Linked DNA regions of Arabidopsis thaliana. The protein of the gene in region 2 interacts with the protein of the main gene of each other region in a biochemical or structural test. Each region holds a gene or a part of one and is shown on either strand. Other genes may lie near its edges.

Evidence for each region.
Region 1: the proteins of RPN10 (region 2) and DSK2 form a complex in vitro, tested with the Arabidopsis thaliana proteins (one study listed by BioGRID).
Region 3: of the proteins of RPN10 (region 2) and PI4K GAMMA 4, one has a biochemical effect on the other in vitro, tested with the Arabidopsis thaliana proteins (one study listed by BioGRID).
Region 4: the proteins of RPN10 (region 2) and APG8A form a complex in vitro, tested with the Arabidopsis thaliana proteins (one study listed by BioGRID).

The regions. Positions count from the first base shown.
Region 1 is NC_003071.7:7,480,181-7,488,995, reverse strand, and holds DSK2 (ubiquitin family protein), read left to right. Parts: upstream 1-3,755; 5' UTR 3,756-3,905; coding exon 3,906-4,134; intron 4,135-4,246; coding exon 4,247-5,011; intron 5,012-5,305; coding exon 5,306-5,538; intron 5,539-5,614; coding exon 5,615-5,728; intron 5,729-5,908; coding exon 5,909-5,961; intron 5,962-6,353; coding exon 6,354-6,382; intron 6,383-6,554; coding exon 6,555-6,638; intron 6,639-6,714; coding exon 6,715-6,863; 3' UTR 6,864-7,115; downstream 7,116-8,815. Other genes in the region: Kin3 (Protein kinase superfamily protein), read left to right, coding at 53-188, 276-418, 500-623, 700-1,130; AT2G17210 (Tetratricopeptide repeat (TPR)-like superfamily protein), read left to right, coding at 1,388-3,598; AT2G17190 (ubiquitin family protein), read left to right, coding at 7,635-7,863, 8,241-8,815. UniProt on the Arabidopsis thaliana protein: Binds and presumably selects ubiquitin-conjugates for destruction. Prefers multiubiquitin chains rather than single ubiquitins, with a binding affinity for 'Lys-48'-linked ubiquitin chains.
Region 2 is NC_003075.7:18,054,802-18,062,754, forward strand, and holds RPN10 (regulatory particle non-ATPase 10), read right to left. Parts: upstream 4,798-7,953; 5' UTR 4,659-4,797; coding exon 4,647-4,658; intron 4,566-4,646; coding exon 4,452-4,565; intron 4,358-4,451; coding exon 4,252-4,357; intron 4,125-4,251; coding exon 4,010-4,124; intron 3,931-4,009; coding exon 3,718-3,930; intron 3,507-3,717; coding exon 3,227-3,506; intron 3,143-3,226; coding exon 3,046-3,142; intron 2,963-3,045; coding exon 2,862-2,962; intron 2,764-2,861; coding exon 2,695-2,763; intron 2,610-2,694; coding exon 2,556-2,609; 3' UTR 2,187-2,555; downstream 1-2,186. Other genes in the region: MYB4 (myb domain protein 4), read left to right, coding at 1-75; AT4G38640 (Plasma-membrane choline transporter family protein), read right to left, coding at 5,083-5,343, 5,434-5,779, 6,227-7,290. UniProt on the Arabidopsis thaliana protein: Plays a role in maintaining the structural integrity of the 19S regulatory particle (RP), subcomplex of the 26S proteasome.
Region 3 is NC_003071.7:19,084,136-19,092,015, forward strand, and holds PI4K GAMMA 4 (phosphoinositide 4-kinase gamma 4), read right to left. Parts: upstream 5,095-7,880; 5' UTR 4,718-5,094; exon of another isoform or gene 4,576-4,717; 5' UTR 4,400-4,575; coding exon 3,080-4,399; intron 2,987-3,079; coding exon 2,606-2,986; 3' UTR 2,357-2,605; downstream 1-2,356. Other genes in the region: AT2G46495 (RING/U-box superfamily protein), read right to left, coding at 1-423, 876-1,569; SDH4 (succinate dehydrogenase subunit 4), read right to left, coding at 5,878-6,333; AIB (ABA-inducible BHLH-type transcription factor), read right to left, coding at 7,052-7,880. UniProt on the Arabidopsis thaliana protein: The phosphorylation of phosphatidylinositol (PI) to PI4P is the first committed step in the generation of phosphatidylinositol 4,5-bisphosphate (PIP2), a precursor of the second messenger inositol 1,4,5-trisphosphate (InsP3).
Region 4 is NC_003075.7:11,653,623-11,660,594, reverse strand, and holds APG8A (Ubiquitin-like superfamily protein), read right to left. Parts: upstream 4,983-6,972; 5' UTR 4,728-4,982; coding exon 4,646-4,727; intron 4,363-4,645; coding exon 4,307-4,362; intron 4,229-4,306; coding exon 4,176-4,228; intron 4,097-4,175; coding exon 3,978-4,096; intron 3,890-3,977; coding exon 3,786-3,889; 3' UTR 3,561-3,785; downstream 1-3,560. Other genes in the region: AT4G22000 (tyrosine sulfotransferase-like protein), read left to right, coding at 393-785; APR3 (APS reductase 3), read left to right, coding at 1,622-1,700, 1,843-1,977, 2,064-2,199, 2,285-3,311; AT4G21970 (senescence regulator (Protein of unknown function, DUF584)), read right to left, coding at 6,489-6,962. UniProt on the Arabidopsis thaliana protein: Ubiquitin-like modifier involved in autophagosomes formation. May mediate the delivery of the autophagosomes to the vacuole via the microtubule cytoskeleton.

The DNA.
Region 1 (8,815 bases), on a different chromosome or scaffold from region 2:
AAGTGAAGTTTTGTTTGCTGAGTGGATAGATTCTTTGTTGGTTGTTGTGCAGTGTGAAGTGAATTTTCTTGGGAGGGTTTCTCATCCAAACCTCGTGAAGCTGTTGGGATACTGCTTGGAAGGTGAAGAGTTGCTTCTTGTGTATGAGTATATGCAAAAAGGGAGCTTAGAGAATCATCTCTTCCGAAGTAAGAACATTCTTTAATCAGAATCTTTTGCTTATATGCACATTTACATCTCGATGTTTCGATGTGTAATTGCTTCTATTACTTCAGAGGGGTCTGCCGTTCAGCCACTCTCATGGGAGATAAGGCTTAAGATTGCAATAGGAGCAGCTAAAGGCTTAGCATTCTTACACGCTTCAGAGAAGCAAGTAATTTATCGAGACTTCAAAGCGTCAAACATTCTACTTGATGGGGTAAGTACATACAGATTGCTTATGGATTTGATGTAGCAAATCATCAAGTGTGAAATTTCAACTGGTTTGCTCTTGATGCAGTCATATAACGCAAAGATATCAGATTTTGGATTGGCGAAATTAGGACCTTCCGCTAGTCAATCTCACATCACAACACGGGTTATGGGTACACACGGTTACGCAGCTCCAGAGTATGTTGCTACAGGTACTACAATGTTTTGTATTCTTAGTTCTTTTGGTTTCCAACAACAAACTGTGAACATGTTTGTTGGTTCCAACAGGTCACTTGTATGTAAAGAGCGATGTTTACGGGTTTGGCGTTGTTTTGGCTGAGATCTTAACTGGTTTACATGCGCTTGATCCTACTCGTCCTACCGGGCAACACAATCTAACCGAATGGATCAAACCTCATCTATCCGAAAGAAGAAAGCTAAGAAGCATAATGGACCCTCGTCTAGAAGGAAAATACCCTTTCAAATCTGCTTTCCGAGTAGCTCAACTGGCTCTGAAATGCCTTGGACCCGAACCCAAAAACCGTCCATCGATGAAAGAAGTGGTGGAATCGCTCGAACTCATCGAAGCTGCCAATGAGAAACCGTTAGAACGAAGGACCACTAGAGCTTCCCCATCCATCCGTCAACAACAAGGCCATTATCGCCCGCAACAACTCTCTTCGTTTCGTCCTAGACAAAACGTGTCTCGAGCTCACTAGTGTTGTTTGAAGACACTGAGATTCTTTTCTTAGTTTTGTATTTGTTAAGATTATCAAAACCCATTCGTATGTATACTACATGAAAGAGAAAACAAATGTTGTACCTGTATTAGTATGTAGTGTTTGGTGTGTGTAATATAACTACTTAAACGGTTAAACCAGATTATGAAAAGGTTTAACTAATGGTCATCAATATATAAGCCATTGTTCACACAATTTTGTTGTTAAAGCTTCAAACTTTAGTTGTGGTTTGAAGTATGGTAATGGGATCACACTTGTGTTCAAAGCTACAAGCTTTGTCTTCGAAGATTAAGCAAGCTTCTGTTAGTGGAAAATGGCGGGAAGTGGTCTCTGGGTATTCAGAGATACAGAGAGCTGGAGTTCAATTTAACGATCCTTTCGTTTTCCCCATTGTTTTTAAAGCTTGTGCTAAGCTCTCATGGCTGTTTCAAGGTAGATGTATTCAAGCAAGTCTGTTAAAGAGAGGTTTTGAGTCTTTTGTTTCTGTAGGGAACTCAATTGCTGATTTCTATATGAAATGTGGAGACTTGTGTTCTGGGTTACGAGAATTTGATTGTATGAATTCGAGAGATTCGGTGTCTTGGAATGTTATCGTTTTTGGGCTTCTCGATTATGGTTTTGAAGAAGAAGGGTTATGGTGGTTTTCGAAGTTGAGAGTTTGGGGTTTTGAGCCTAATACTTCAACATTGGTTCTTGTGATTCATGCGTGTCGTAGTTTATGGTTCGATGGAGAGAAGATTCATGGCTATGTGATCCGTAGTGGGTTTTGTGGGATTTCGTCTGTTCAAAATTCGATCTTGTGTATGTACGCAGATAGTGATTCTTTAAGTGCACGTAAACTGTTCGATGAAATGTCTGAAAGAGATGTTATTTCTTGGAGTGTTGTAATCCGAAGTTATGTGCAGAGCAAGGAACCTGTTGTTGGATTGAAGTTGTTTAAAGAGATGGTTCATGAGGCGAAAACAGAGCCTGATTGTGTGACTGTGACAAGTGTTCTCAAGGCTTGCACGGTGATGGAGGACATTGATGTTGGAAGATCAGTTCATGGGTTTTCGATACGGAGAGGTTTTGATTTGGCAGATGTGTTTGTTTGCAATTCACTTATTGATATGTATTCAAAAGGATTTGATGTTGATTCAGCATTTAGAGTATTTGATGAGACCACTTGTCGAAACATTGTTTCATGGAATTCGATTTTGGCTGGGTTTGTACATAATCAAAGGTACGATGAGGCTCTTGAGATGTTTCATTTGATGGTGCAAGAGGCGGTCGAAGTGGATGAAGTTACAGTCGTGAGTCTTCTCCGGGTTTGCAAGTTTTTTGAGCAGCCATTGCCTTGCAAGTCAATACATGGTGTAATAATTCGGCGTGGATATGAGTCAAACGAAGTGGCTTTGAGTTCTTTGATTGATGCGTATACAAGCTGCAGTCTTGTTGATGATGCAGGAACCGTGCTTGATTCGATGACGTACAAGGATGTGGTGTCATGTAGCACAATGATCTCTGGATTAGCCCATGCTGGCCGATCCGATGAAGCAATCTCAATCTTCTGTCACATGAGGGATACGCCCAATGCTATCACCGTCATAAGTCTTCTTAACGCATGCTCAGTTTCAGCGGACTTGAGAACTTCCAAATGGGCACATGGGATTGCTATCCGGAGAAGCTTAGCCATCAATGACATCTCAGTTGGTACCTCTATTGTTGACGCATACGCAAAATGTGGTGCCATAGAAATGGCGAGAAGGACTTTCGATCAAATCACTGAGAAAAACATCATCTCTTGGACCGTGATCATTTCAGCATATGCTATTAATGGTCTACCGGATAAAGCATTAGCATTGTTCGATGAAATGAAACAAAAAGGTTACACACCAAACGCTGTGACATATCTGGCAGCTTTATCAGCTTGTAATCATGGAGGATTGGTAAAGAAAGGTCTCATGATCTTCAAATCAATGGTAGAAGAAGATCACAAACCTTCATTGCAACATTACTCTTGCATTGTAGACATGCTTAGCCGAGCTGGAGAGATTGATACGGCTGTGGAACTTATCAAGAATCTTCCAGAAGATGTTAAAGCAGGGGCTAGTGCTTGGGGAGCGATTCTTAGCGGTTGCAGAAACCGTTTTAAAAAATTGATCATTACCTCAGAGGTAGTAGCTGAGGTTCTTGAACTCGAGCCCTTGTGTTCTTCAGGTTACTTGCTTGCGTCAAGCACATTTGCTGCAGAAAAATCATGGGAAGATGTAGCAATGATGAGGAGGTTGGTGAAGGAGAGAAAGGTTCGGGTCGTTGCGGGTTATAGCATGGTTCGTGAAGGAAACTTGGCAAAGAGGTTTTTGGCTGGAGACAAGTTAAGCCAGAGTGATTCTGAATTAAATGATGTCGTTCAGAGTCTTCATAGATGCATGAAGTTAGACGATACTGCAGGACCGATAAACTAAAGCCCTTTGGGCCTCAACGAAGCAGATAAATGATATTATTATACGATGCCGTATGTATTCTCGGATCCGGGTGAGAAAAGGAACGAACCGGGTTTTGTTTTTGACCCGACCCGGTCCCTTCGATCCGTTCTCTGAAGCAGAAGTCTTCTTGTTTTGTTCTCTTCGATCCATTTCGTCAAGCAATCTACCGAACCGACTCAGAGCTTTTGAGTCTTCTAAATCTCTATCGAATTTTTCTAGGGTTAGGGCTCCTGATCGATTTCGCGAGCTCTGCGATTATTTTAAGTATTAGGATCCGAAATTAGAAATGGGTGGAGAGGGAGATTCAAGTCAGCCGCAGAGTGGTGAAGGAGAAGCTGTGGCTGTGAACATCAGGTGCTCTAATGGCACGAAATTTAGTGTGAAGACGAGTCTCGATTCAACGGTGGAGTCTTTCAAAGAGTTGGTGGCTCAGAGCAGCGATGTTCCAGCTAATCAGCAGCGCTTGATTTACAAGGGTCGTATCCTCAAGGACGATCAAACTCTCCTCAGCTATGGTAATCTTCATCGTTTCTGATTTATTCGTGTGGGTACTTTTGTTGTTCTCGTAGATCCTTATTGATTGAAATTCTTGTGGATTCTATTCTCTGTGGAACATGTTATACCTAGGTTTGCAGGCTGATCACACCATTCATATGGTTAGAGGCTCTGCACCTTCTTCAGCACCACCTCCTGCTCCGGCCGCAAGCCAAACCACTGCACCTAGTGTTACTCGAGGGGTTGGTTCAGATAATAGCTCGAATCTAGGAGGAGCGAGTCCTGGGGAATCTTTGTTCCCTGGGCTTGGATTTAATCCTCTGGGTGGTGGAAATGCTATGTCTGGGTTATTTGGAGCTGGTCTTCCGGATCTTGTGCAGACACAGCAACAACTAGCTCAAAACCCTAACATGATTAGAGATATGATGAATACTCCAGCCATCCAGAACCTTATGAACAACCCAGAGTTTATGAGGAGTATGATTATGAATAACCCTCAAATGCGTGAGCTTGTAGATCGCAATCCTGAGCTTGGTCATGTGCTCAATGACCCAAGCATCCTTCGTCAAACTCTAGAAGCGGCAAGAAACCCAGAGCTTATGCGTGAAATGATGCGGAATACTGATAGGGCTATGAGTAATATTGAGTCTATGCCTGAGGGATTTAACATGCTTAGGCGTATGTATGAAAATGTCCAGGAACCGTTAATGAATGCTACCACTATGTCCGGGAATGCTGGAAACAATACAGGCTCCAATCCATTTGCTGCTCTGTTGGGAAACCAGGGGGTCACTACGCAAGGAAGTGATGCTTCTAATAATTCTTCGACACCAAATGCTGGAACGGGGACTATTCCGAATGCAAATCCACTTCCTAATCCTTGGGGTGCTACAGGTGGTAAGTAACTGCATTTTCATCTTCTAATCTCCTGTCGATTTTATTTGTCTTTTGAAGGATGCAGTAATATTTTATAAATGAAAAAGTGGCTTGTTTATAAGAAATGGACGTTACTGTTCACTGCTCTGCTTCAGGAACAATATTGTGTATAGTAAATTGGTGAGTTAGTGTAGTTACCACAATTTGTTGTTATGTGTAGTTTTTGCATATGATTTTCTTGGCTTATTGTTTCTAATTTAACATTTACTCATAATACACTAAATATAATTGAACATATTGTGGGCTACTTGACAGGTCAGACAACTGCCCCTGGAAGGACAAATGTTGGTGGGGATGCGAGGAGCCCTGGACTTGGTGGCCTTGGTGGTCTTGGAAGCCTTGGAGGCCTTGGTGGACTCGGTATGCTTGGAGCGGATTCACCTCTTGGTGCGACTCCAGATGCTTCTCAATTGAGCCAGTTATTGCAAAACCCAGCCATATCGCAGATGATGCAAAGCGTATTTTCCAATCCACAATACATGAATCAGGTAGGCCTAGAATGATCTGAACTTAAGAGCCTTTTACCATTGTGAACATATATTAATTGTTTTCCCTTGATTCCAGCTTATGAGTCTTAACCCACAACTCCGAAGCATGCTAGATTCGAATCCTCAGTTGAGGGAAATGATGCAGAACCCAGATTTCCTTCGTCAGTTTAGTTCTCCGGAGATGATGCAGGTTAGTTTGTCCCCTATTGTCTGTATGCATATGAATTTTTAACATGGTAGTCTCTCAAAAGAAACATTTCTTTGTATCTAAGCTATTTTCAAGTAAAGAAGTTTCTTTTCTTTTTTTTTTTTGGGACAAAGTAAAGAAGTTTCTTAAACCTAATGTTTTCTATTGTTTTTTGGTCTTCAGCAAATGATGACTCTACAGCAATCACTATCTCAGAATAGAAATACAGCCAGCCAGTAAGTTTTGTTAAAACCCTTCGTTGTTTGGATTTGCTTAAACAAAGTTGAGCATTTACATGTCCTTTACATATTGTTTTTTGGGTTGTTTAGTGTTTAGACAATGTTGTAACTAGCTAAAAAGATTGGTTGTGAACGATCTCTATAATAAGAAAAGGATTGAACCATGACTAATGCAGCAACTCTTGTATGATTTACTGGGCTGATCACTAGTAACATCTATCAAAGAGGCTATAAATAAAGCATTTTAATCGTTGGAATACACTTGAATAGGGCTCATAACATTTTGTTTGTTTTTGATTATGCCTTTTAGCATAAGCTATGTGTGTTAATCTCCATATTTTGATTTTCATCAATCCGCATTCATGTTCCCAAATCTATCTTCTCTGTAGGGATGCGGGGCAAACTGGTGCTGCCACAGGTACTCTTAAAGATATTATATGTATTTATTCTACAGTAGTATAAAGGGTTTAGTTATGTTACGTAGTATAGCAGCTACTCTTTAGTTCTCTTTGCTTTCATGTATGTTTTATTTTAGCAGATATTGTATCGTATACAAGTTAATAGTAGAATGACAATACTGATGGGGACAGGAAATAACGGGGGGCTGGATTTATTGATGAATATGTTTGGCAGTCTTGGTGCTGGCGGCCTGAGTGGCACGAACCAATCCAATGGTTAGAGACTACAAATTTTTTTTAGCTTACGCATCTGTTGTGATGGTTCCACTGAAACTTGTCTGTTTGATTCCAGTTCCTCCTGAAGAGCGGTACGCTACTCAATTGCAACAGTTGCAGGAAATGGGATTCTATGACAGAGCAGAGAACATTAGGGCGTTGCTTGCAACCAATGGTAACGTTAACGCTGCTGTAGAACGACTCTTGGGGAGTATCGGACAGTAGCATACAGGTTCATGAACTGATGTCTCTCCATCTGGCTTCTCAGTTATAGAATAAACAGCTTGAATGTGTGTTTTTCAGTAATGATATATTCATCGAATTCATAAAAATTTATATATGATAGGATCGTGAACTTTGTTGATAGAAAAGCCGCATCAATACGGTATTTGTTATCAGTGGTCACTCTTCGTCTTTAACTACCCTTAAACCTATATATCTTGGGTGTTTATCTTTGATAACTTATTTCAAGTTGTTACAACATACAACATCTGTAAATGTTTATAGACATCAAAGTGAAATTGAACCCATTAAATTTTTGGTTCCTTCTGATCCGGTTCAAAGGTTAAACCAAATTGCCCAAAGAGAGAAGTGGCATGTTGCAAAGGAATATCCAATTAGTTGATTCATCATCTTCAATTAGATTCAAGTTACAGCCAATTCCTTCCTGAACTATATACCAAATGCCTCAATTTAGACCCGACCCGGCCCAATCTTACCCAGTAAGAGTCGTCGATACGTTCTCTGAAGCGCAAGTCATTTCTGGATTCTCATTTAATTGGCCGTTCGGGGCCAAATAACTCTTTAATTTTCTGCAGTCTCATTTGTTATTCGACCAAAAATAATTTATATCCCTTTCCTCAAGAAATCTTCAGAACCGACTTATTAGAGCTTCGAGTCTCCTCAAATCTTCTTCTACGATTTTTTCTTCTAGGTTTAGAGCTTTTGATTCTCCGATCAATTTCGCGATTTGTTGAACTAGGATCTGAAATTAGAATGGGTGGTGAAGCAGATTCGAGGCAGCCGCTGACTGCTGAAGGCGTAGCTGTTGCCGTGAACGTCAGATGCTCCAATGGCACGAAATTTAGTGTGACGACGAGCCTCGATTCCACGGTGGAGTCTTTCAAAGAGTTAATTGCGCAGAACAGCGATGTGCCGGCAAATCAGCAGCGTTTGATTTACAAGGGACGTATCCTCAAAGACGATCAGACTCTCCTCAGCTATGGTAATTTTCTGATCATTTCGTGTTTCATTTCTGTTGTTCCGTTGCTTTAATTTGACTGAAAATCTCATAGGGTTTCTAGGGGGTTGGAACATTGGATTTATGTTAGGTTTTTACAGAAGCATGGATGATTTTATGAGTTTTGATGTATGCTTAATCCTTCTATGGGAAGAATAAGGAGATGTAGTTAGTGATACGATAATTGATTCATACCATTCTTAGAGTTCCTAATGTTCTCATGATCATGTATCTTCTTGGGATGTATATTTTCTCCATCAATGGCTGTTGTTGATATGATTGTGTTGGATAGTTTCCACGTTTTATTGTTTTGCATCATGAGCCTCAATGTTTCCTTTCTCTGTGGACCATTTTATATATAGGTTTGCAGGCTGATCACACCGTTCATATGGTTCGAGGTTTTGTGCCTTCTTCTCCTTCTGCTCCCGCTGCAAATGCTGGAAACCAAACCACTGCTCCTCAAGCGGTTGGTTCAAATGATAGCTCAAACCTCGGAGGAGGTGAATCTTTGTTCCCTGGCCTTGGATTTAATCCTTTGGGTGGTGGAAATGCTATGGCTGGATTATTTGGATCTGGTCTTCCTGATCTTGAGCAGGCACAGCAACAACTAGCTCAGAACCCTAACATGATTAGAGAGATGATGAATACTCCAGCCATCCAGAATCTTATGAACAACCCAGAATTTATGAGGAGTATGATTATGAATAACCCTCAAATGCGTGAGCTTGTAGATCGCAATCCTGAGCTTGGTCATGTGCTCAATGACCCAAGCATCCTTCGTCAAACTCTAGAAGCGGCGAGAAACCCAGAGCTTATGCGTGAAATGATGAGAAATACTGATAGGGCTATGAGTAATATTGAGTCTATGCCTGAGGGATTTAACATGCTTAGGCGTATGTATGAAAATGTCCAGGAACCGTTAATGAATGCTACCACT
Region 2 (7,953 bases):
GGATTTGATTTTTTAGGGTTGGCAAAGAAAGAGACCACTTCTCTTTTGGGCTTTCGAAGCTTGGAGATGAAATAATATTGTCAAATTTTAGGCGTAACTGTACAAAACTTTTGCCTAGATAATTTGAAAGTATATCTTCAACTTGTATGAGAAATTTAACTGGTGAATTATAATATATAGAATTTGTTTTTTTTTCTCTTTTACAAATTAACTCCATTGGCATAAATATTAAATACCGGATCTAGACGATCGGTGATAAAAATATAGATCATTAGATCGTATAGCTCTATTGTAATTAATTTGTATACGATTAAGATTATCAGTTTATGAGGTAAGATTAGGTTGGTTGCCCAAATAACTCGTTATCCAATGTTGGAGATAAGCCAAATAAGGAGAAAAAAGATTACGAGTATGGCAAAGATACTTGATCACATAATACTTAGATTGTACTGGTATAGATGATACCTTGTTAAGATCTATAATTAAAGATCTAGGAGAAGAACGTGAAACAGAAGATAAATCGAAAATGTTTCATGACAAGTGGAAAGTGAGGTTTGTAGTTAATTTGGCAGGAATAGAAAAGTTGTAAGAGAAGGAGGTAGGAGAAAACTTAAATGTTTTTAAGATAAAAAAAGGAAAGAAAGAGATATGTGAAAAAGAAAAAGAAAATAATGAAAACCATAAATGAAGGAAAGGAAGCAACAACCAATGGACCCTTTCTTCTACCAAACTCTATTTATTTCTCACTACCCATCTCCCTACCAACCTATATACCAACCTTTCCTCATCTTTTGTCCACTTGCAAGCGATCTACATCTGCATACATACATACATACATACATACATACATACATATTACACATGAATGCATAACATACATATACTGTATATCCATATACCACATAATATATTTATGCATGCATGCATATAAAAATTATGTATAGGAGTTTCATTGAATGTAGCCACATGGTTGAATTTAGAAAGAGTAGCGACTCGTAAACTTAAACATTGTTCTATCGTAAGATGCTTGGTAAAATCGGTGTTGTACATGTTCCTTCGTTGATATCCTCTCCTCAACACTACAAAAACCCTCTCTAGCTACTACATTAATTATCATCTCAAATCCCAATAGAGCAGTATATTATTTCCTCGTATATATTTAGATTTAGTTTTAAAATTGATCAAATGGTTATATACTCCAGTTGTGTGTTTGTTTTTTTGTTTTGGCCAAAAATTGGTAAGATCTCAAAAACTGGTATAATCACTTGAGAAATTATATGATCACCAAATGACAAGTTGTTGTCACTAGCACTGGGGCTTGATATATATCATATTCTGATGAAGATACAAACTCAACAATAATGGAATCAATAAGAGTTTTCTCAGGTTGCATCAACTAATGAAACAAATTTAAAGTTGGAAAAAAAAACAAAATCAGTTGAAGTCTAAAATAAAGTTGAGAACGTTTGATTAATTTCGAACATCGAGATTTAACAGTGGTTGGGTAAATATTATGAAAGTGAAGGAATAACAAAAAAAAACATGTAGAAGTTGATAGAGGAGGATGATATTTTGGAAATGAAAGAGATGGGAGAGGAGGAGTGGTGAGAACTGAAGATAAGGAAAAAGGGGAAAAGGACAAAAGGATGACCACACACACAGACACAAGTGAACAAAGACAGACGCACCTGCCTCCTCTTCCTTCTTCTTTCTAATATTATTCATTTTCATTTGTAAAGAAACGACTTTTTCAAAAGGTGTTAGGTAGATGCAATAGAAGCTTCTATCAGTTTTTCTTCTTTCTTTTTTTTTATGTTATAGTTTGTGAGTCTTGTGACTCTTTTTGTCTTTCCCTTTCTTGCTCTAAAAGGGAACAAAGAAATTTCGTCACTAATAAGTTTCCCCAATAAAAAGTCTTTAACGATAGTCATATTTAGCAATTCAATTTGTTTGTGTAGCATAGTTTACACGTACGTAGATGATCAAAACTACAGCTCGCATGTGGCAATTAGCAGACAAATACACATATCTTGGGATAAATATAAATTAAATAATGCAAATAGATTGCAATTAGCAGACTAATAAGCGCATATAAAAATTAGATTGCAAAGAACAAAAAAACGAGCCAACAGTAGAACAAAGGAATTAAGTACCTAACTGCCACGTGGGACTTTAATTACTTGGAGAAAAACATAACTTCGCAGAAATGTGAGCAAAATTTAATTACCAATGTAGACTTTTTGCACTGTCGTAAGAATATTTCAGATTTGACACTTGTGCAAGGTTCATTACGAATTTAGGACTCGCTATTCTACTGAATTGATCGAGAGACCTGTAACAAATAGGCTTACTTTCTAAGAGCCCATTGACATAAAGTCCAATAAAAATTAAGAAGGAAGCTAGTCCTTGACTCGTACAATAACAACATTATAAAAAGGCGAGAGAGAGAGAAAAAAACAAATTTCACAAGGCAGAGAGATTAGTTAAATTCAGTTCCAATCTCTATCAAACCAAAGAAACAAGAGGAATTTTTATTGAGACTCTCAGATCCTTCTTCACTTCTTCTCATCCTCGCCTTTTTTGCTACTACTCTCTTCCTCCTCGGTACGCTGTCATTTTAACCATATACATTTATCAGAATCTTCTTTTTCAAATAACAAAAAGATGTAATCATAAACATCAACAAAGACACACCTTTGACTCGTCTGGCAGAGACGCTAGTAGTTCTTTAACTGCCGGATCATTTGGATCCACCCCAGGAAGCTGCGTGTACACAAAGTCTTAGTACCAAAGCTAACCCTACTACTTTTCTCTTTCATTTTGCTTGTGAAAAAAACTGACTAAGGTTTATGTAGGCTTACCGATGAGAGAACAGACGATATGAAGGCTTGATTTCCCAAGAGGTTGTTTCCAGCACCTGTAGCTTCACTTGACTCTTCCCCACTCATTGACATTTGCAGAGCTGCACATGGAGTATAAAAAAATATAAGAAAAATGCCAATTTTGATTGCCATGGATATACTTTTACCACACTGTTCTACTTACCTAAAGCCAGATCCTGGTCCTCATCAGCCGCTTCTGACATATTCACATCACCAACAGACATAGCAATTGCCTGATCTAGCAACGCACTGTCCTCATCCTGCCACAAAAGGTTGTATGATTAACAATCTCTCCGCCTGTGACTATATAAGAATGCTACACTCAATTTTAAGTAACAACTAACCATTGGTTCAGCGTTCTTGTCAGTTGTCCTAGCAACTGTCTCCTGTGAGGCGGAAGCTGTGTCCCCATCTTTGTCTTTCTGACCTGCCTCATCGGCCGCCTTCTTGGCAGCAGCTTCTTGTCTTGCTCTCTCCTCCTCCATGGAGACCCGAAGGGCAAGAGCAAGTTCTGGATCGATATTTGGGTCCACACCAAAGTCGAAGTCCCCACCTGCGGCCGCTGCAGCAGCTGCCGCAGAAACATAGCCACTTGCACCCTCATCACCCGTGAATACAGGTGTGCTGGAAGAAAATTTAAAAGTTAAAACACTATCTATGATTCAAATCACTGTCTAAATGTTTTGTTGCAGCATTGATAAAAAGCAAGACTAGAGAGCTCAAAAGACCTAAACACACAAAACCACATGAAGTGCACCTACCAAGCCGGATATTGTTGAAACTGTTCCTTTTACAATCTACATAACCTAGAAAAAAAGAAGAAAAGGGATGGTACCTGAGAAGCACATCTGAGAGAGCATTGGCTCCAGAAGGAACATGAACAATGTGGCTACCGTCATTGTTATTCACAGCTGTAAGGAGCGCCTCGAGTTTCTGAGGCTTTTCCTCATCATCATCCTCCCCGAAATTGACAATATCAAGAGAGACACTATTCTTCTTCAGCCTTTTTCCAACTATCTCTAGGGCCTTCTTCTCGTACTTGATTGGACTAAAAAGTAGAAGCAGAAGAAAAACATCAGTATAAAACTATACAAAAGTTACTCAGCAAAAACAAAGCAATTCGGTACCTTCCAGCAAAAACAATAATCCTTTGGCGTTGATTCTTGTTTTGGCGATGCTTAAGAGCTAGCTGGGCGATCTGGATAGCTGCGGTTAAGTTGATCTCTCCTCCCACATCAAGGCCTGAAAAGATGACGCAAGTAGCAAATTGATGTCAAACTCAATGATAAAGAGAAAGAACAGATTTTTTCTAATTGCTCTAAGTAGACAGCTAATAATAAATAGAAAGATTGGAGAGAGAGATACATACCGTGCATACAGGCCAGAATTTTGCCAAGATCAGAGGTAGGAGTAGTCAATACTCTAACTCCTTTGCCAGCCATTGTCAAAATCCCCACCGTATTCTCCGGATTCGACTGCAATTGCAAAAAAGAAAGATCCCTAAAAATCACAATCTCACGCAAACCCAAAAACCCTAATCGAATCAAGTGAAAAAACGTAAATTATTACCTGGGTTTTGGCTCCGCAAAGAAGATTAACAGCTTCCGTTTGCGCCTGTAACCTAGACGGAGAGTAATCTCCGTTTCGCATCCACTCGGAGTTGTCGATACATATCATAGTCGCCTACAACAAGAAATCATCGATGAGAAAAAGCATTCAACGTGGATCATCAACGAAGATAAGCACAAGTAATTGGAAAATCACCTCGAGAACCATCGTGTCGATAAGCAGAGAGAAGCTTCAAAAATTCTGTCGTAGAGAGAAAGTCAGGAAGGCAAGATTTAGATTTTAGTTTAGACCGATAATAATAACATTGTTCTTCTTTAAATATCCCCTTTACTTTTTTACTTTCTCCTTTTAGACCCTAATGTTTTACGTTTATTTCAATTTAGCCCCAATGGTTGTTTTTGATAAAAAGCAAAACAAAGTTGATTTATTAATGAATAAAAGAAACACAGACCACATTACAGTAATTCCTATAACTAAAGTCTTTCTTTTATTCAACATTGTTACCCCATAACTCTACAAAACATCAATATAAACCCCAAGAAGACAAACCACAGTTCACCAGAGAGGAATTTACAACGGTGCTAACAAACAAAAAAAGATACAACAAGCAGAGACGTTGGATCATCTTCTGCTATGCATTAAGAGCATTTGGGATGAGAGAAGATCTTGTGCTTCTGCTGATAGGCAAGTGAACATAAACCTCGTGAACTTCCTGCTTACATACATCCCCTTTGTCTCTATCAATCGCGTAACAGACATAGATTGTGTCAATCACATCGTCAAGAACATGTACAAAGAAAGCCAATATCACAATCAGTAACACCCACGCCAGTACAGCCACCACGTACGAATCTATACCCAGGTTGCTCACTCCTCTCAGAACAGCCCATGTCTGCTTTTGCGCATCATCAAACCCCGGAATTAGTCATTATGGCAATTATTAAATGCTTGGTTGGTGAGACAAGCAGAAGATAATACTTACCGCGACTGCATATGCGGCTGACAGGACAAAGACTATTCCGGTTAGGATTCTGGTGGAAACCGTTTCGACAAATACAGCTGACAGTAGGTTGCGTCTTAACAGCTCGTAAGTCATTTTCGCAGAGGTGCAATACGCTTCCCCTGTTATTGCAGCAAAGTTGATGGTGAACTTGTTGAGATAGTCAAGGGCACCAAGTAAGGCGTTTGCACAGCAACGGAGAACCATGTTCACTATTCCTTGTGTGTTCTCTTCTCTTGCATTGTCCACAATTGCCCGGACCACACGAACAATGCATATGAGAAGTCCTGATACACATATCGTACCAAAGGATTGACCAAATGCATTCCTGAAGAGACAGATACAAAAAATAATAAGATTCACACATGCTTTGACATAAACCAACAACAGATTTGAAGACTAATGCAAATTTGGATCCTCAAAGCTATAATCTCCTTTCAAAAATACCACTGTCTGTTGTCTCTTTTCACATTTAAAGTACCAAACAAGTTCAGATGATGGATTCCAATACAATATCCAATCTATAAGGCCAAGACTATGAATACCATGACCTAGAATCACTGAATACTCCAGAACGAAGCCAAGCAAGGGATACTTCGAATGACCATAGATTATATTTTATGAGGAAACAAAACTAAGAGAACTCAAAGCAAAAACTCCCGCGATCACACAAAACATATATTAGAACTAAGAGCACCATTGATTGTAAGAGAAACTGCACAGCAAATTCATTGATAACAAGAATAAAATAGAGAAAGATGTGGCAGCGAGTCACCTCAAAGAACTCCGGATGCATTTTTTAGGGATTGAGTCTTCCTTGGAGAAATACCACTGAGCAATAGCTCCACTTATCACATACACTTGCATTTCCACCATTACAGCAAGAGACCAGATCATCGTTAAAATGGCAAGAGCGTAATACGCAGGAACCCAAGAATCTTCTTTCCACTCACAAAAGTACTGACCATCCAACTCTCGCGGCACAAACTTCCCATTAAACCTTGCAAACACCAAGAACACCACAATCGGCGCATAGTACACCACTAACCCGAGAGTCAGCAGCGGCAGCACAACAAAAAGTTTCAAATTTTTGGACAAGGCATCAGATGCAACACTGATGATTTGGATAGTAAGATCAATTCTGTGCCAATTAGCTACTATGATCCAGACAATGATCCCGATGATCAAGAAAACAAAGACTAGGACAAGTATTCTGTAAGCTAGAGGGAGGGCATCGCTACAAGAAGAGCTAAGAGTACAGGCGACAAACCAATAGACATTGAAAAAGATGGGAAAAAGGACAAAGAGAGGTAAACAAGCATAAACAATCTGCTTAGTGTAGTGTTTGAGCAAAAGCAGGACGCTAAAACAGAAGGGCACGCTTAAAATAAGCGTTACAACAAGTGTCCAGATCAAATCCTTCTCAAAGACTGGATCAGACGAAGAAACCATGCCGTACATGACACTCGAAGAAGCCCAGTAGTACCCATCCGAAATTTTCGTAAAGGTAGAATTTTTGACGCAGGAGCTAGAGGTGAAATCGTAGGTGAAGGAAGAGGAGTTCCCGTAATCGTTATTTCTATGAAAAATGGAGAAGATTCCAAAACCAAAGGTGGAGAGTACGAGAAGATCGAAGAGAAGTAGGAAAGGGATGTCCTTGAAAGTTCTTGGGCCAAAATTGTAGGAGATCTGAAGAAACTGAGTTGGGTCGGATTCGGGATCACTTCGACGCGGAGAATCGAGAGCGGACGTGGAGGGTTTAGAGAGAAGAGGGTGTGACGGAGAGGATGAGTCGTAGATTGCAGCGAATTTAGTGGGGTCGCCGTCGTCCGCCGCCATGGTCGTCCACAGAGAGAGAAGAAAGCTCCGCCTCTGGAGCTAAATGATGAAGAAGCTTAAGCAGAAGCAGAAGACGACGAAACTCAATTTAGCATTTTTTCTTAATCACAATAATTAATTAGTGACGATGCCGACGACCACCGCCCAAGCGGCCAAGCGAAGATGATCCAAGATCTCGCCACCACAATGCTCAAATTTAATTCGTTGATTAGTCACGTATACAGGTATTATACCGTCCAAAGGAGTATTATTATCTTCATGTGCATTAAAATATTAGTATAGTTTCTTTTACCAGTATTAAAAGAAAAATTCACGAAGACATTGAGACGGGCTTCGAAGAAAGTCTGATAAGAGAATTCTCAAAGCCCAACTAGCCGTATTAAAGCCCAAATCATCGCATGCAAGAGTAATAGTCCTAACTCCTAAGGAGCGTGTGACTGCATCACAAGGGCAGATACGTTTGTTAACTTGGGCCCAATTGTCACTTGTAAAGCTAAATCTTTGAAATCTTTTGAGAGTTTAAACTTTAAAGATATGAAATTTAGCTAAATTCGTACAAATTTATATCCAAATGTTGACAACAACGTAATCTAAAAATGCATAGACGACAATATTGGTTTCCCTTTGTATCAACTAACAAAATTAATTTTTAAAATTTTGGTG
Region 3 (7,880 bases), on a different chromosome or scaffold from region 2:
AGACAGCTTGACGAGCCGGAGAAGGAGAATTCCGACAAAGAGGACACGAACCATGAATCTTAAGCCACACATCTATACATTCACTGTGGAAGCAATGATCACATTCTGGTATGCACCGCACGGTCTCTTTGCTAGCATACTCCGATAAACAAATAGGGCAAACAATATCATCATTATTTCCCGGTAATCTTCTACTCTCTCCTAATTCCGTTTTCTTATATGATTCTATTATAGATTCATCAAGACCCGTCGTGACTATAACCTCGTTTGGCTGCAAGGCGGCGATAGCCACGTTGCGTTGTATCAGGGAAGCGAATCTTTCGGAGGTGCAAACTCCGACTGCAATACAAGTAGCAAAGATCGTGAGCGGTCCAATTATGCTCAGGAGTATAATCTTAAGCACTTGTGGTTCCGTGTTGTAGCCTGCCAAAATCATGTTTCGAAAGATCAATTTACTTAAGCCACCATGTACGTATTATTTTTTCTTTGTTGAATCTGATGATAACACAATCACTAAACAACAAGTCATGTTACCACTATTCTTTTAAAATTCGTATTATAAGGGATTATCTACGGAGTACAACAGTCTATGACATATTGAAAAGAGTGGAGATTTGATCTTTTTAAAAAATGTGGTTAAACAATATTTAACTAATCAATATATAGTCAACGGCTCAATGTCAAATGTAATGGCCTACTAGATTTTTTGTCTAGTTGTTTAATCATTGGATAATTATTTGAAAACCCCAAATAATCAAAGATTCCTCCAATTTGAACTTTTTTTATGAAGACTAACTCATTCGTCGTTAATTCATAACTATTAATTAATGTAAGTTATAAGAACTAAGAAGAGAAAGAATTGGAGTAATTTGTACCGGAATTTTCAAAAGGGAAGCATTTGACTTGGAGAGAAGTGTTGCTTCTGAATCCACATCTCAAAAAATCCCTCTCACAATCGCTACAACTTGGAGAATCCCATTTCAGCCAAAGGTCTTTATCGTTGACATCAGTCGAGAATCTTGATTTCTTGGCAATAACTCGCCGAGAAACCGGAACATCTAATGTCTTGACGATCTGACAAGAAGGCAGCATAGATTTCGCGAGATCCAAACTAGTTGTAGCCAAGAACGAGGTCGTTGAATTGCCTAGACATGGGATGGAGTCAAACCTGGACGACTTTGCAACCTCATTAGGACAGCTCAAGAACGTGTAGCTGACAAGGTAGAGAGCAGAGAAAGGAGATCTTGATATGTCGAAGGTCAAAAGCTTTCTTGCCAAGCAATTTTCAGGGTCATAGAGACGAATCTGCTGGCTTAAATAGTCGATCTCTCGGACAAGAAATGTTCCGGAATTAGGAAGCTTGAGAGCTGTCTTGGGACTAGCTGTGCATTGGAGATTAAATCCGGCATGGCCACAGAGCTCAGGCTGTTTTGAGAGTAACCAGAAAGGGAAACGGACATGGACATCATCACGACCGCATGAGGAGGAAGAGCATTGTTGTGGGTGTGAAGCGTGTAGGAGAGGGAAGAGGAAGAAGAGGTAAAGGAAGAGTTGTTTTGAGAAAGTCATTTGGTGGTTTTTTGTACTAAGGGAGGGACAAGAAGACTTGTTATTATTTCACTTAATATATATATAGTTCAAACTTAAGAGATCTCTATCTTTCGTCTTTAAATAAAAATAACAATATTCATTTTGTTGGTTAGATGAGGAATAATAGAATATTGTAGTCTGATGAATCTATGGAAAGGTCGTACTTGTTCTCTTTAGTCAAGATACATTTTTAAGAAATTGAATGGAGACATGTTATAATTCAAATCATGAGAACCCTAAGCACACACTTTCTTTAAGATAACAATATTTATTTTGTTGGTTAGACTAAGAACATTATAGTCGGAGGATCTATAGAAAGATTGTATTTGTTCTCTTTAGATGATGCTCGCTAACAAACAAACCTTGTTAATATTTAAACGAAAACCTTGGCCCCTGCGATGGTCTTGCGTTTTGAACGTGGTAAGCACAACTGAAAGGCTTGGTGAAGCTTTGGATTCTGTCATGGAAGCTGTACCGGGTCTTTGGAATCGCCTGCGATGCAAAGCATGGCTTATGTGTATCTTTTCGAATAGGAAGAGGATGATCGGACCTTGGTACCTTAAGGAATTCAAAGCGAAGCTCAATGACATGAAAGACTTGAGAAAACAGAGACATCAAAAAGAGCTACAGGAAGAGCAGATTCAATACGAAAGTAACGATTGTGAATTGCTTCTGCTCATCTTTGAGTTTCGTTCTCATCGATTTGCCTTTTGAAGTTCCTGTAAGATTTTGACAGTTTTGGAGTTTCACAGTAGATTTGACGTCATTCATTGCTTATTAACAGAGAGACATGTATATCGTAGAGAAGAGCTAAATCTTACAAAGAGAGAAAACTATTGTAAACACTTAAATTGTCATTACCATGAAATATGTCTGAGTGAAGTTAACAAAACACCTTGAACATGTCCAAAGAATGACAGAAATGAAAAAGTTTTAAAAATACAAAAGCCAACAGGTTTATAAAAAGCAAACCAAAGAGTATATACCAGAGTTTTGAATTAAACAAGAACCATTTTTAGTGTTCCTGAGAGTGATCGAGATGGTAATCCATCACATCGGATAGGGCTTCGAGGAATGCAGCTTCGCTCGTCCCTGGAAGCACAGCTTCTTGAGCTTCCTCTACCATTTCCTCCACCAGAGACTTCTTGCTAAGTGTTTCTCTGCACATTATGGTTCCAATCTCAAATGCTGTTAGTCCTCTTTCCACTCCTTTCTTCAGTAGCATCGTTGAGATTCTGAGCGTTTGAGCCGTCTCTGCCGGCATTTTCCATCCATGAAACTTTAGTAGATCAATATCTTCCTCTGCGTCCAGTGATCTTATGTACTCTTGGGTCTCTGCAGAGTACGGTTTCCGGGCTTGTGGCCAATATAGCCACTCAAACGTGCAATCTTCAAACTGATGACGAAAACAAAAGTTAGTTTCATGACAATGAACACTATAGGCAAAACTGAATCCAAGAAAGAATAGAAAAAGAGTAAGAGCACTTACGCTTTCAGGCAAGCAGTATCCATGGTCTATAGGAACCAAAACGAGCTTCCCGCTTTCGTCCTTGGTCATCAAAATGTTCCCACCATGTCTGTCTGCGTTGGCCAGTCTAATATCCAACACAGAAATCTTATGAACTTCTTCTACTGGAAATGAAAGTGGACCCATATCTTCACAGCTGCCATCGTTCTCAGTAAACATCTGAAGTGATCCAATCTTGGTTTTGATTCCTTTGGGATGGTTAAACCCTGGATGCAAACATTCAATCATAGCTGTGGGAGGTACACCAGCAAAACCTATCTCTTCACCAAACATAGATTTGTTTCCACTTTTGGGATGATCCAAAATGTATGCAGCGACTTCCCTTAATGCACCTTCTCCAACCTTTGTTCCTTTCTTCAAACCTTCACCGTTTGGCGAAAGTGGTAAACCCTGAGGATTGTTCTCAGCCATTGGTTCCTCATCTATTGGCTTAAACACACCCACAAATTTGTTGCCAGATGGACCCTGCATGAAATAAGCTCCTCCCGTACCTTCGCTTGACCTGACCGGAGAATTCCCACTTTTAAGTCCATCAGAAGCAGACTGAATCATATCTTTAACCACCAGAGGTACTTTAGCCTTGGAGTTAACAACTACCGGCTCCAAAGAAAGCTTTTTTGGTGGCACAATGCTCTTAGCTTCACGACCCTTCTTATCTTTTGCTTGTGGGGCAACAATAGACAACTCAAAGTTCTTCTCCACCGGCTTAACTCGAACTTTAGCAGATCTCCGCACAAGCAGATGCAAAACCGAGTCATCGTTTCTACAAATGTCATTAATAAGACTCTGGTCTTCCAACTTCTCACCTTCGTAAAGAATCTCCTGTTCATCAGGATCAACAAAGTCTCCACGCTTTTTCGAAATCTGCTTCTTCACATACCCAATGTTTCTCCCTCTCTCGACATGAAACCTGCAGTGTTTCCCACAGGTAGTCTTAACATCAAGAACCTGAAGATCAGAGAGCTTAAGAACCAAGTGGAGAATGTTGCCTTCACTAACACCATAATCACGCATATTAGAATTGCTTCTAGCTAGCTCTCGACCACCGAAAACAAGCTTCTGATTCCTCACAACAAAGCCGCGGTAAGACTGAATCCGAAGCTTAACAGACTCAATGGAATCAGACTCAAGCACTCGCATTGGTATCACCGATCCAGGAAGTGTAAGGTAAATCATGATGGTGTCGTCAGGATAAGAATCAAGACAAGAATTGGCACGAACCAGAGGCATAATCAATGGCTCGCTACGAACCGGACTTAACGCAACACCAGCTGATGACATCTTCTTTCACTTGGAGAAATCTAAGAACTTTCTTACGGAAAAAAACAGGATTCGATGTTCTTCACAACACAAAATCCCTCAGCTTCTATATATATATATACAACAAACCGCAATAATCCCTAAAATCCCAATACCATCGCTTCTTCTTCTTTTTCGAGAAACAACAATAACAAGCCCTAGGAAAAAACAGAGGAGATCAAACCTAAACAGATCAGGGATTGATTGATAGCTACAGGTGAATCAAATCGAGCCAATTGATGTCGCCGATGACGTACCATATGAAGAAAAAAGAAAGAGAGAAAGAGAGCGGATTCTTACCAGAAGGAAAGAACCAAAGAGGAAATTGGGACAAGGCGTGGAGCTTTAACGATGATGATCCAATCCAATAATAGAGTTTTTAGGGTTCAATCTAATGGCGTACAAAACAGCTCGCGAAACAAGGGTCAAAAGAGTTTAGAGGAAAGAGAGAGAGGTTTTTCAAAAGGAAAGTGGTAGGAAGGACACGTGTCTCCACCTCGTTCGCGTAGGTGACGCGTACAATGAAGCTTCTTCTTCTTCTTCTTTAATGTACACTTTTCCTTTGTTTATTGTCAACGGTGTACGGCAGTTTCGTTGATTTTGTTTTGTATTTTACCCTTGGAGTGGAAACCAAGCCAGAGACTTTGGGGTTTTAATCGTCATTATTTCACCGTTTTGGATTAGGATGCTTTTAAAACTTCGGATAAGGAGAGAGTTAGTATTTGAATCAATGAACCAGTACAATCGTAATTCGTATGGGCCTACAGATAAAAAGATGGGCCTTTTAATTCGCTTCTTTAACTCGTTTCATATCCCTTTGTTCTATTCAACCTTTCAGGCTTTCTGCTATGGAACATGAATATTGTTGGTCCAGTTGCATCTTAACCAGGTTCATGAACATCTAACTAAGATTCAATTTGATAGCTTTATATCTTCAAAATCTCATGTTTGATCTAAGTAAACATAACATCGACAATTCTCTGTTTGTGACTTCTTGAGAGTCTCCATCACCTTTATAATGATCACACCAAATCCAAAACCAGAAAATCTCTTCAAAAGTTGTATATAATCAAACCATCTACTTGGTAAAAACCACAACTTTTCTACTGCAAAACTCACGTAAGTCTCTCGTGCTTCTGATTACAGTAAAGCTAAATTCGAAATGCAAACGTAGTGATTAAATGATCCTCAAAGCTGAGAAAAGTTGTCATTATTCAATCAAAAGATTAACAGGCTTAGAATTCCATTTTAAGCCTTACAGAATCAAATACACGAAACCAGAAACTGAAACAACACACAACAAAAGCTTGAAGGTAAAAATGCAACATTGCATCAAGTTCTTATTCATAAAACAAAGAAGATAAAAGGAAAGACCTTTTTTTTAGCCCACACTATTCATTCATTAACAGGTGATGATGATCGAGAGTGTTCCTTAGATCCCAAAAGATGTTTACTTGGTTTCAGAGAAGAAACAAGATAATATCTTTAAGAACGATAATCTGGAACAATCCCAAAGACATCACAATCAAATTCCTTGTCATTTCTTGGTGAACATAATCCGCCAAAATCTCTTCCATTCCTTCATGTATGTGAAAGACTACAGGGATTTTGCGTAAGAAAGAGCCATTAGTGTAACCTCGAGAAGACGATTGACGCGAGAATTTGGCTGCCTTGTTGAGTTCAGATTGCCCAATTGAAGACGAAATCGAGCGATCGGTGACGAGATTGGTTGAATCTGGTTTCAGTTTCTGGGCTTGTGCGAAGGGGATTGAAGAGAGGTCTCTTCCCAGTGGGTTTCTCACGGCGGCGGTGGCGGATGCGGAGGAGATGTGACTCATCGAGAAAGGTAGAGACTTTGAGAGAGTGGCTCTCTGGGTTTGACGGTGGAGATCGAGGATAGTGCGGCGGAGAGACATCGTGGCCGAGGAGATAATCTGACGGAGAAGGATTGAAATTGGATCTGATCGGAGAAACAAACCCTATGTGAAATGAATCGGAAGCACAATTCTCGTCGTAGAGGTGAAGATGCATTAATGGAGTTGGGCTTTATACTGGGCTTTTCAGAACTACCAGAAGCCCAAACCAAAACCAAAATAGATTATTATGTGCTGCATTGCATAAAATAATGGACCAATGGAAAAAAAATAATTGATTCTCATTTTTAAGTAATTTTTAGCTCAGTCTCTTGAAATGTCAATATATCATATTCATGACCAATATATAAGATTTGGTCACTTCAAAATTCAAATGTACATGAACATTCTACAAGATAATTAATCAAATATTTACCTGAATAACATTGATTGGATAATATTAACTTGTTATAACTATTGCTTTATTTGAAAAAAAAAAAGAATGGATCCCAAATTGTAACTGAATAAAGCATCCATAACAAAGAAAGAGAAGTCAAATATCTTTCATACTTTATTTGATTTTCTAAAGTATAGGAAATATTTTCCCAAGATACAAATATGTGAATCAATGGTCTAAATAAAGTTAATGAATATACTTAAACCGGATTCCTTTCACTATAAGAAAGAGAAAAGAAAAAAGGATTTTATCTATTTCTAGTTGAACCTGAAAGTTATCTATACTGAAACAAGAATAGACAAAAGCTTCACCATCATGTGAAACTTATATATCACCAGAGACCTGTGAACTAGAAGAAGGCAATGGCGGTTGCGTCGAGCTGGTCTCGGGGTAAAACGCTGCTATAAGCTTCTCTTTCGTCAATGGATCCGACCCGTTGTTAGACTTTATCACAAAAGTGTGAAACATTGTGTCTTCAGCTAATGATAACTTAGCCTCCATTAGACTAACATTTGAGTTTCTCATTGCTTGTATGATTCTTGAAGCTGGATGTGAATCCAAAGGCGAGATTACTCTTACAACAACCTCTTCATTCATAGCTTGAATGTCAACTTCTGGACTTTCTTCTACTGTTATTGTGTTTGATTCTGATAAGCTCTTATCTGTTCCTACTCTTTCATCTTCCATTATCTTGACTTTCTCTTGAAGCTCTTTGATGTAAGAAATTGCGTCTCCAAGTAGAGAAGCCTTGTCCATTTTAGAAATGTTTGGAACAACTGATCGTAAAGCGTAGAATCTTTGGTTAAGCTTCTCGCGTCTCTGCCTCTCAGCTTCCACATGGTTCAATGGCTCTTCTCTTCCGTTTGCAGGCTTTCTCCCTCTCTTTCTCGGTCTCTTCTCATCAACAACAGAAACTATTCCTGCTCCTGCTAACAAGCTCACTGGTCTTTTCTCTGTACAAGATTCTGATTTTTCTTGCTGAGTGTTTGTAGATGGATTCGAAGAAGCAGCAACTGATGATCCCGCAAACTCAATCTGCGTCTTGTAATTGTTATTATCTACAACCATATTCACATTCTCTAGCACTTTCACATCATCCCTCTGAGGTGTGTAACCAAATGTTGGACCTTTATTGTTATTATAGCCTTCCCAA
Region 4 (6,972 bases), 6.4 Mb from region 2:
CCCTAATTTTAGAGGATTTAGATCCATTTGCATCACATTTCTGCGTAGTAAATCAAGAATTAGTCTCCAAAGACTCTTCTTTTAACAACATTTCAACCAATCTGCGTTTGATTTGTAAGAAATGTTGTGTCAAGTTCACTCTCACTATGATCTCTCTTTGGATTCAAAGTTTGTATCTTTTTGCTTCTATGCATCACCAAATCTCTCTTTGGATTCAAAGTTTGTATCTTTTTGCTTCTATGCATCACTATCATATAATACCTTCCTTCAATTGATCTCCTCTGCTTTTAGCTAGCAAGTTTATAGGTTTCTTAACTTATTGTGAGCTAATTGGATTACAATGAGATATTATCATCTTTAAAGAATTGTGGTTTTGGGCATATGCAGAAGTTATGGCTGGAAAAGCTGCAGAAGCTGTGGCAAAGACAGTGACAGGGTTTCAACATCCATGGAGGGCGAAACTCGATAAGTACAGAACCGAGTTGACGAAAGGTGTGTGGGGTTATTGGGAGATGGGAGCATGGAAACCGTTAGGGATAAGTGCACGAAGGAGGGCTATGCTGAGGAAAGAAGTGTTGACTAATGGAGAAGATTGGCCTTATGATCCAGAGAGGAAAGCTATGAGGACAAAGAGGAAAGGGCATAAATGTGATAGAATTTCAGCTGAGAAAAGAGAGAACACTGCGAAGCTTATGTTGAAGATGCCTCAGATGTTGCTTGATTATAAGAAGAGAAGGTGGGAAAAGAAGATGAAGGAAGAAGAGAAAGCTAAAGAAGACAAGTAATTGATTTGTTGAGATCATGATTACTATAGACTTGGTTGATGAATAAGAATAATTTAGTTTGTTGATCTTATGAAATCTTGGAAGGTTTAAGATCACAAGTTTGCTTCTGATATACTTTTGTATGATGTTTTTTTATGTTTGTTTTTAACAGAACCCAAAAGTGTTTGTGGTTAGGATCGGAATTTGTTTTTCAACCAAGACTAATTTTGACTGTAAAATATGGTTTATGAAATATCGGTTCGTGCAATTTCTAGAAGAAATGAAGAGATCGATAGGTTTTGTAGATAAATTGATAAGTTAAACTAAATGATAGAATCGTAACAAACGAAAAATAATCTCAGTGAAAGAAAATCTCAACTGTTTTTATTTAGTTAATTCTATAAATATGATCGTTTTTTCGGATTTTTAAGGAAAGAATACACGAGAAAGTATTTATCTAAAATTAATAATCAAACATATCACCATGTTTATATTTTACAAATTAGATTAATTTATTATTAGATTATTTTTGTTAGCTCTAAAATAAAATTAAGCGTGTAAAATGTTTTTGAGATAAGTGTATGTTACATTAATAGAAAAAAAAAGAATTCTTGGACCAAAGTTGACTAGTTTTCTCTGCCACACGACCAAAGTGACGCAAGCAATGATATATAGAAAAGCAAATGCCGCCACCTAAAAAAAGACGTCTAGGTTCAATGAACCTAAATTTCAGCTGCTTCTTTTATAATCCCATTTCTCTCAACAAATCTTAAGAGAACACAAAATTAGAAAAAACACAACACAAAAATAAAAAAAACTTAAGAACATTGTTTCGAGAGATTTGGTTTGGAGTGAAAATGGCACTAGCAATCAACGTTTCTTCATCTTCTTCTTCTGCGATCTCAAGCTCTAGCTTCCCTTCTTCAGATCTCAAAGGTAATTTATTTCATTTTCAATACCAAATTCGTGGAGAATCTTAGAAATGCCTTGATTGGTCATTGTGTTTTGGTTTTAAATTCGTTCAAATTCGATCAATGTCGAATCTTATTCAATTTGTTTGTTTGATTCTTCAATACAGTAACAAAAATCGGATCATTGAGGTTATTGAATCGTACCAATGTCTCTGCGGCTTCTCTGAGTTTGTCCGGGAAGAGATCCTCCGTGAAAGCTCTTAATGTGCAATCAATTACAAAGGAATCCATTGTTGCTTCTGGTAAGTTCTGGTTTGATTTTTCAATTGATCATTGGTTAATTTGATTAAGGTTTATGCTAATGATCTTGTGCTTCATTACAAAACAGAGGTTACAGAGAAGCTAGATGTGGTGGAAGTTGAAGACTTTGAGGAACTAGCAAAGAGATTAGAGAATGCTTCTCCTCTTGAGATCATGGATAAAGCTCTTGAGAAGTTTGGGAATGACATTGCTATTGCCTTTAGGTAATGAATTGAATCATGAGAATACAATAAAGGAATGTTTTTGTTTTCCTTTAGTTTGCTGATTTGTTGTTTTGTTTGGTTTCAGTGGAGCTGAAGATGTTGCTCTGATTGAGTATGCTCATTTAACTGGAAGACCTTATAGGGTATTCAGTTTGGATACAGGGAGATTGAATCCAGAAACATATAGACTCTTCGATACCGTGGAGAAACATTACGGTATTCGGATTGAGTATATGTTTCCTGATGCTGTTGAGGTTCAAGCTTTAGTTAGGAACAAGGGTTTGTTCTCTTTCTATGAAGATGGTCACCAGGAGTGTTGCCGTATTAGAAAGGTGAGACCTTTGAGGCGTGCGTTGAAGGGTTTACGTGCTTGGATCACTGGTCAGAGGAAAGATCAATCACCCGGGACAAGATCGGAGATTCCTGTTGTTCAGGTTGATCCAGTGTTTGAAGGATTAGATGGTGGAGTTGGTAGTTTGGTGAAGTGGAATCCGGTTGCTAATGTTGAAGGGAATGATGTTTGGAATTTCTTGAGGACGATGGATGTTCCTGTCAACACGCTTCACGCTGCGGGTTATGTTTCAATCGGATGTGAGCCATGCACGAGAGCGGTTTTGCCGGGTCAGCATGAGAGAGAAGGGAGATGGTGGTGGGAAGATGCTAAGGCTAAAGAGTGTGGCCTTCACAAAGGGAATATCAAGGAGAATACCAATGGAAACGCAACCGCTAATGTCAACGGGACAGCCTCAGTCGCGGATATCTTCAATAGCGAGAATGTTGTGAACTTGAGCAGGCAAGGGATTGAGAATTTGATGAAGTTAGAGAACCGGAAAGAGGCTTGGATCGTTGTGCTTTATGCACCGTGGTGCCCGTTTTGTCAGGCAATGGAAGCTTCATTCGATGAATTGGCGGATAAGCTGGGAGGAAGTGGTGTGAAGGTTGCTAAGTTTAGAGCTGATGGTGACCAGAAGGACTTTGCCAAAAAGGAGTTGCAGCTTGGAAGCTTTCCAACAATACTTGTGTTCCCAAAGAACTCTTCAAGACCAATCAAGTATCCATCAGAGAAGAGAGATGTTGATTCTTTGACATCTTTCTTGAATCTTGTTCGGTAAATCCGCAATAAAATCCGCCGACTCTACGATGACGAAGAGATCAATAATAGACCATCCAGTCTCGTTCCAGATTGCTAGAACAGATGAAGAAGGTGAAGATGAGAATCTCTATTTGGAGCTTTAGCCTTTTGTATAGCTGTGGTTAAAAATAATTACGCCAAGGTTTTGCCTTTTGTGAGTTTATTTTTACCAATTTTCAGTGTATTACTCCTTTTTTGCCTTTGTGATGGATATGAACAAGTTTGATATGAAAGTGACTCATTACTCATTAGCCCCAAAATCAATGTTATTTAAGTAAAAGCAAAAGAGGAAAGTAAGAAAAGGAGAAGTTTCTGACGATTAATAAACCCAAAGGGAAAGATATCCAAACATCCAAAGCAAAGTTAAAAGCCAGAGAAAAGAAGGAAGCAATGTACATCTTTATCTTCCTGATTTATGTATGTACATCAAAGTCATCCAAAGATCGATTTTTATTCAAGCAACGGTAAGAGATCCAAAAGTGTTCTCTCCACTGTAAGTCATGTAGAGGAACCCATCCTCATCTTTGTGTTCTTCATAGATCGCAGACATCAATGCAGCTGTTAAGAAACAAAAGTGAAACCAAAGTTAGTGGTAAAGAAAGAAACTTTGATCCTGAATGGTGTTAAAGAGTTTAAGAACTCTTACCAGTTGGAGGCAATGTGTTCTTAACAAAGACAAAAATAGCTTTCTCAGCTCCAAGCTTGATTCTTTTACGAACCACGTATACAAATTGTCCCACTGTTAGATCAGCTGGTACAAGATACCTAAAAGAAAGTGGAAGAAACATAAGTTATCAAGATTATGATATAGAAAAAGAGTAAATAAAGCAAACCCATTACTCACTTCTTCTTGTCAATGTCAGGAACATCACTTTGTCCAGCCTTCTCCACAATCACCTACATACAATCCAAGATTCTAAATTAGACTAAATTTAGTGAAAAGAAGTTAATCAACTCATGAATTTGTAAGCTTACGGGAATTCTGTCAGGGTACTTCTCTCTGATTCGAGAAGATTCACTCATCCTTGCCTCTGATTAACAAAACATAACCACAAGATTAATGACAAGTACATCATTAAACAGAGATATCTATAAAATCTCACAGCTTGGCTTAGAAACAAAAACAGAGAAACGAACAACAAAGGAAGAATCAAAAGCGTATGCAGAGATTAAATCTGATCCCAAAACCAATCAAAATTGAGTTCCAAAATCAAAACCATACACGATCTAAAGCAAGTTTTAACAGAATTCAGAAACTCAACAAAAAATCAAGTAATTGAAAATTCGATGAGAAAGGGATTTGAAGAAACAAACCGAGAGGGTTAGAGATCTTGAAGGAACTCTTAGCCATTGCGATTCGATTAGTCTCTGCGAATTTCAAGCAAGCAAAGATCATAATTAATAAACTCGATCGTCTGCTAGATCGGGGGAGAAACAAACCCAGAAAACCCTAAAAGATCTCGAATTTATTGGTGAGAAGAAACATACCCGAAGAAGAAACTGAATCCGATTTGTTGGAAATTAGGGTTCGTTGAGAAGAAATTGAGTTTGATTGAAACTGGAGAAGAAGAATCGAGAGAGAGAAGTCAATGTCAAGAGAAAGGGATTATAAAAGAAATTAATAATGGAATTTAGTTAGGGTTTTCCTAATGGTTGCCTACACGGAACTGTTTCTGGAATAAGTAAACCACTTGGAATTCGTTTATTATTATTTGTTGATTGGATTACAAGAAATCTCTTACACTTGTCTTACGTCACCACCATCTGTTTATTTCTTCACACATTTTTGTGTCGTTTTGGGCTAATTGGGCCTTTATATAGGCTTTGGTTAGCAAAAGTTTACAAAGTAACAAAAAAATTTTTTTTTTTTTTTTGTCATCAGGTGTTATTTATGACTCAAACGAGCCAATTTTGAAGAAAATTATTTACAAAAATGATATGTAGCGGTTCCGCACGAATTTTTCGTGCCAAATAATCCGCTTTGACAAAGTAACAAATTTGTTGTCGTTGTATTTTTATATAAAATTGAATTGCATTTTTGTGGCACCTCTGTACAAGATTTTTTTTTAGTTGAAACTGTAATTTTACTACAATTTTTTATTTCGAAAAAGTAAATTGTAAAAAGAAAGAATGATTATCATGAACCGTTGCTAGGGCCAAGGAAAGATGAGTAAATTTCGTTTATAGTGTGATTGGTACTATTTATATATTGAGTAGATCCAAACAAAATAAAAAATCCAACCGAACTTGACATTTTTTTTGTTTGTCGGCAATTCAAATTTAGTACGGGTGAGATAGTACCGACGTGAATAAAACTGAAAATTATCGAAACAAGTATTTTTATTTATACAACTTCATTCTTGAAAATATATCTTACCATAGTAAATTAACTAATATATTTATTATGTATATCTTGAAATGGATATTTAGCAACGAAACGAATTAATCCAAATTCAAATACAACTTTTTCAGTTGCAGATTGGTTCAAGAATACACGAAGTAAAAAATTAAATCAACACACCGAAATAGATAACAGATACATATACCCCATTCCCCTAGTAACACCATGTCTAGTTGCTATATAACATTGAAAAGTGAAAGGTAGTGAGCAATATGGAACGAGCCCCTTAACCTTGTGTCGGACCAAAAATGTTAACATTATTCGCTACATTTTTCTCTCTTGGTCGAGGCCAAAATGGTGAAGAGATCGAGAGTGCTTTCAAATTTCTCACATTCAAAGGTTCCAAAGTATATGCCATTTTGTTTTGCTAAACTATAATTTAAGCTCACTAAGCACTGCTAAAGAGTTAAAAGACCATTGAGAACTACAAACATAACATGAGAAAAATGGTATGGGCCCATGCATGGGATTGACAAGTCATCCTCATCGTCATCATACTTATCTAAAAAAATCCAAAAACCTAACAACAACAACAACAACAACAACAAAAAAAAAAAAAGAGAACTCAACCATATTGGTAGTGTCATGATTCCCTACATGGTGATAACGACAATAACATTGATATTTAATAAAAATCATGTGGATACCATAAGGTTTTAGGTTTTTTTTTCATGATAATGATATGGTATGGTGCTAAAAAGGGTTTTGTGTGAATGTGATATTGATCATCCAGCCATGCTCCATGCCATGCCAAAACTATGGTGGTGATGTTGTTGATGAAGATGTGATATTCGATTCCAAGAAACCAGTTCTTGTTAAGACAGCGTTTCTTGTTTTGCTGAGATCTCTTCCTTTGAGCGTTCTTCCGATTCCTTCGCACATAGAGAATGATGAGATCTGCGTTCTTGCAAGTCTTTTTGCTACTAACTCATGTGGAGGAACCATTGAGCCTTCATCATCATCGTCAATGGCCCATGAATGCAAGTGGCTGCTTGTGTTCTTCTTTGAATACCCATAAACCTTGGACCAGTCAGGAATATTCATTGGAGCAGATGACTGTTTTGCCCCTCCAGAGACCTCGTTGCCTTTAGGAATGTACCTCGCAGAAGATGAGGAAGAGGCTGAGAAGAGATTGTTACTTTTGGACATTTTCATTTCAGGACCTTGAGTTTCACTTTCTCTCAAAACTGACCACACTTCTTCTTCTTGAAACTCTTCTCCCCCTTCCATTGCCTCTCAA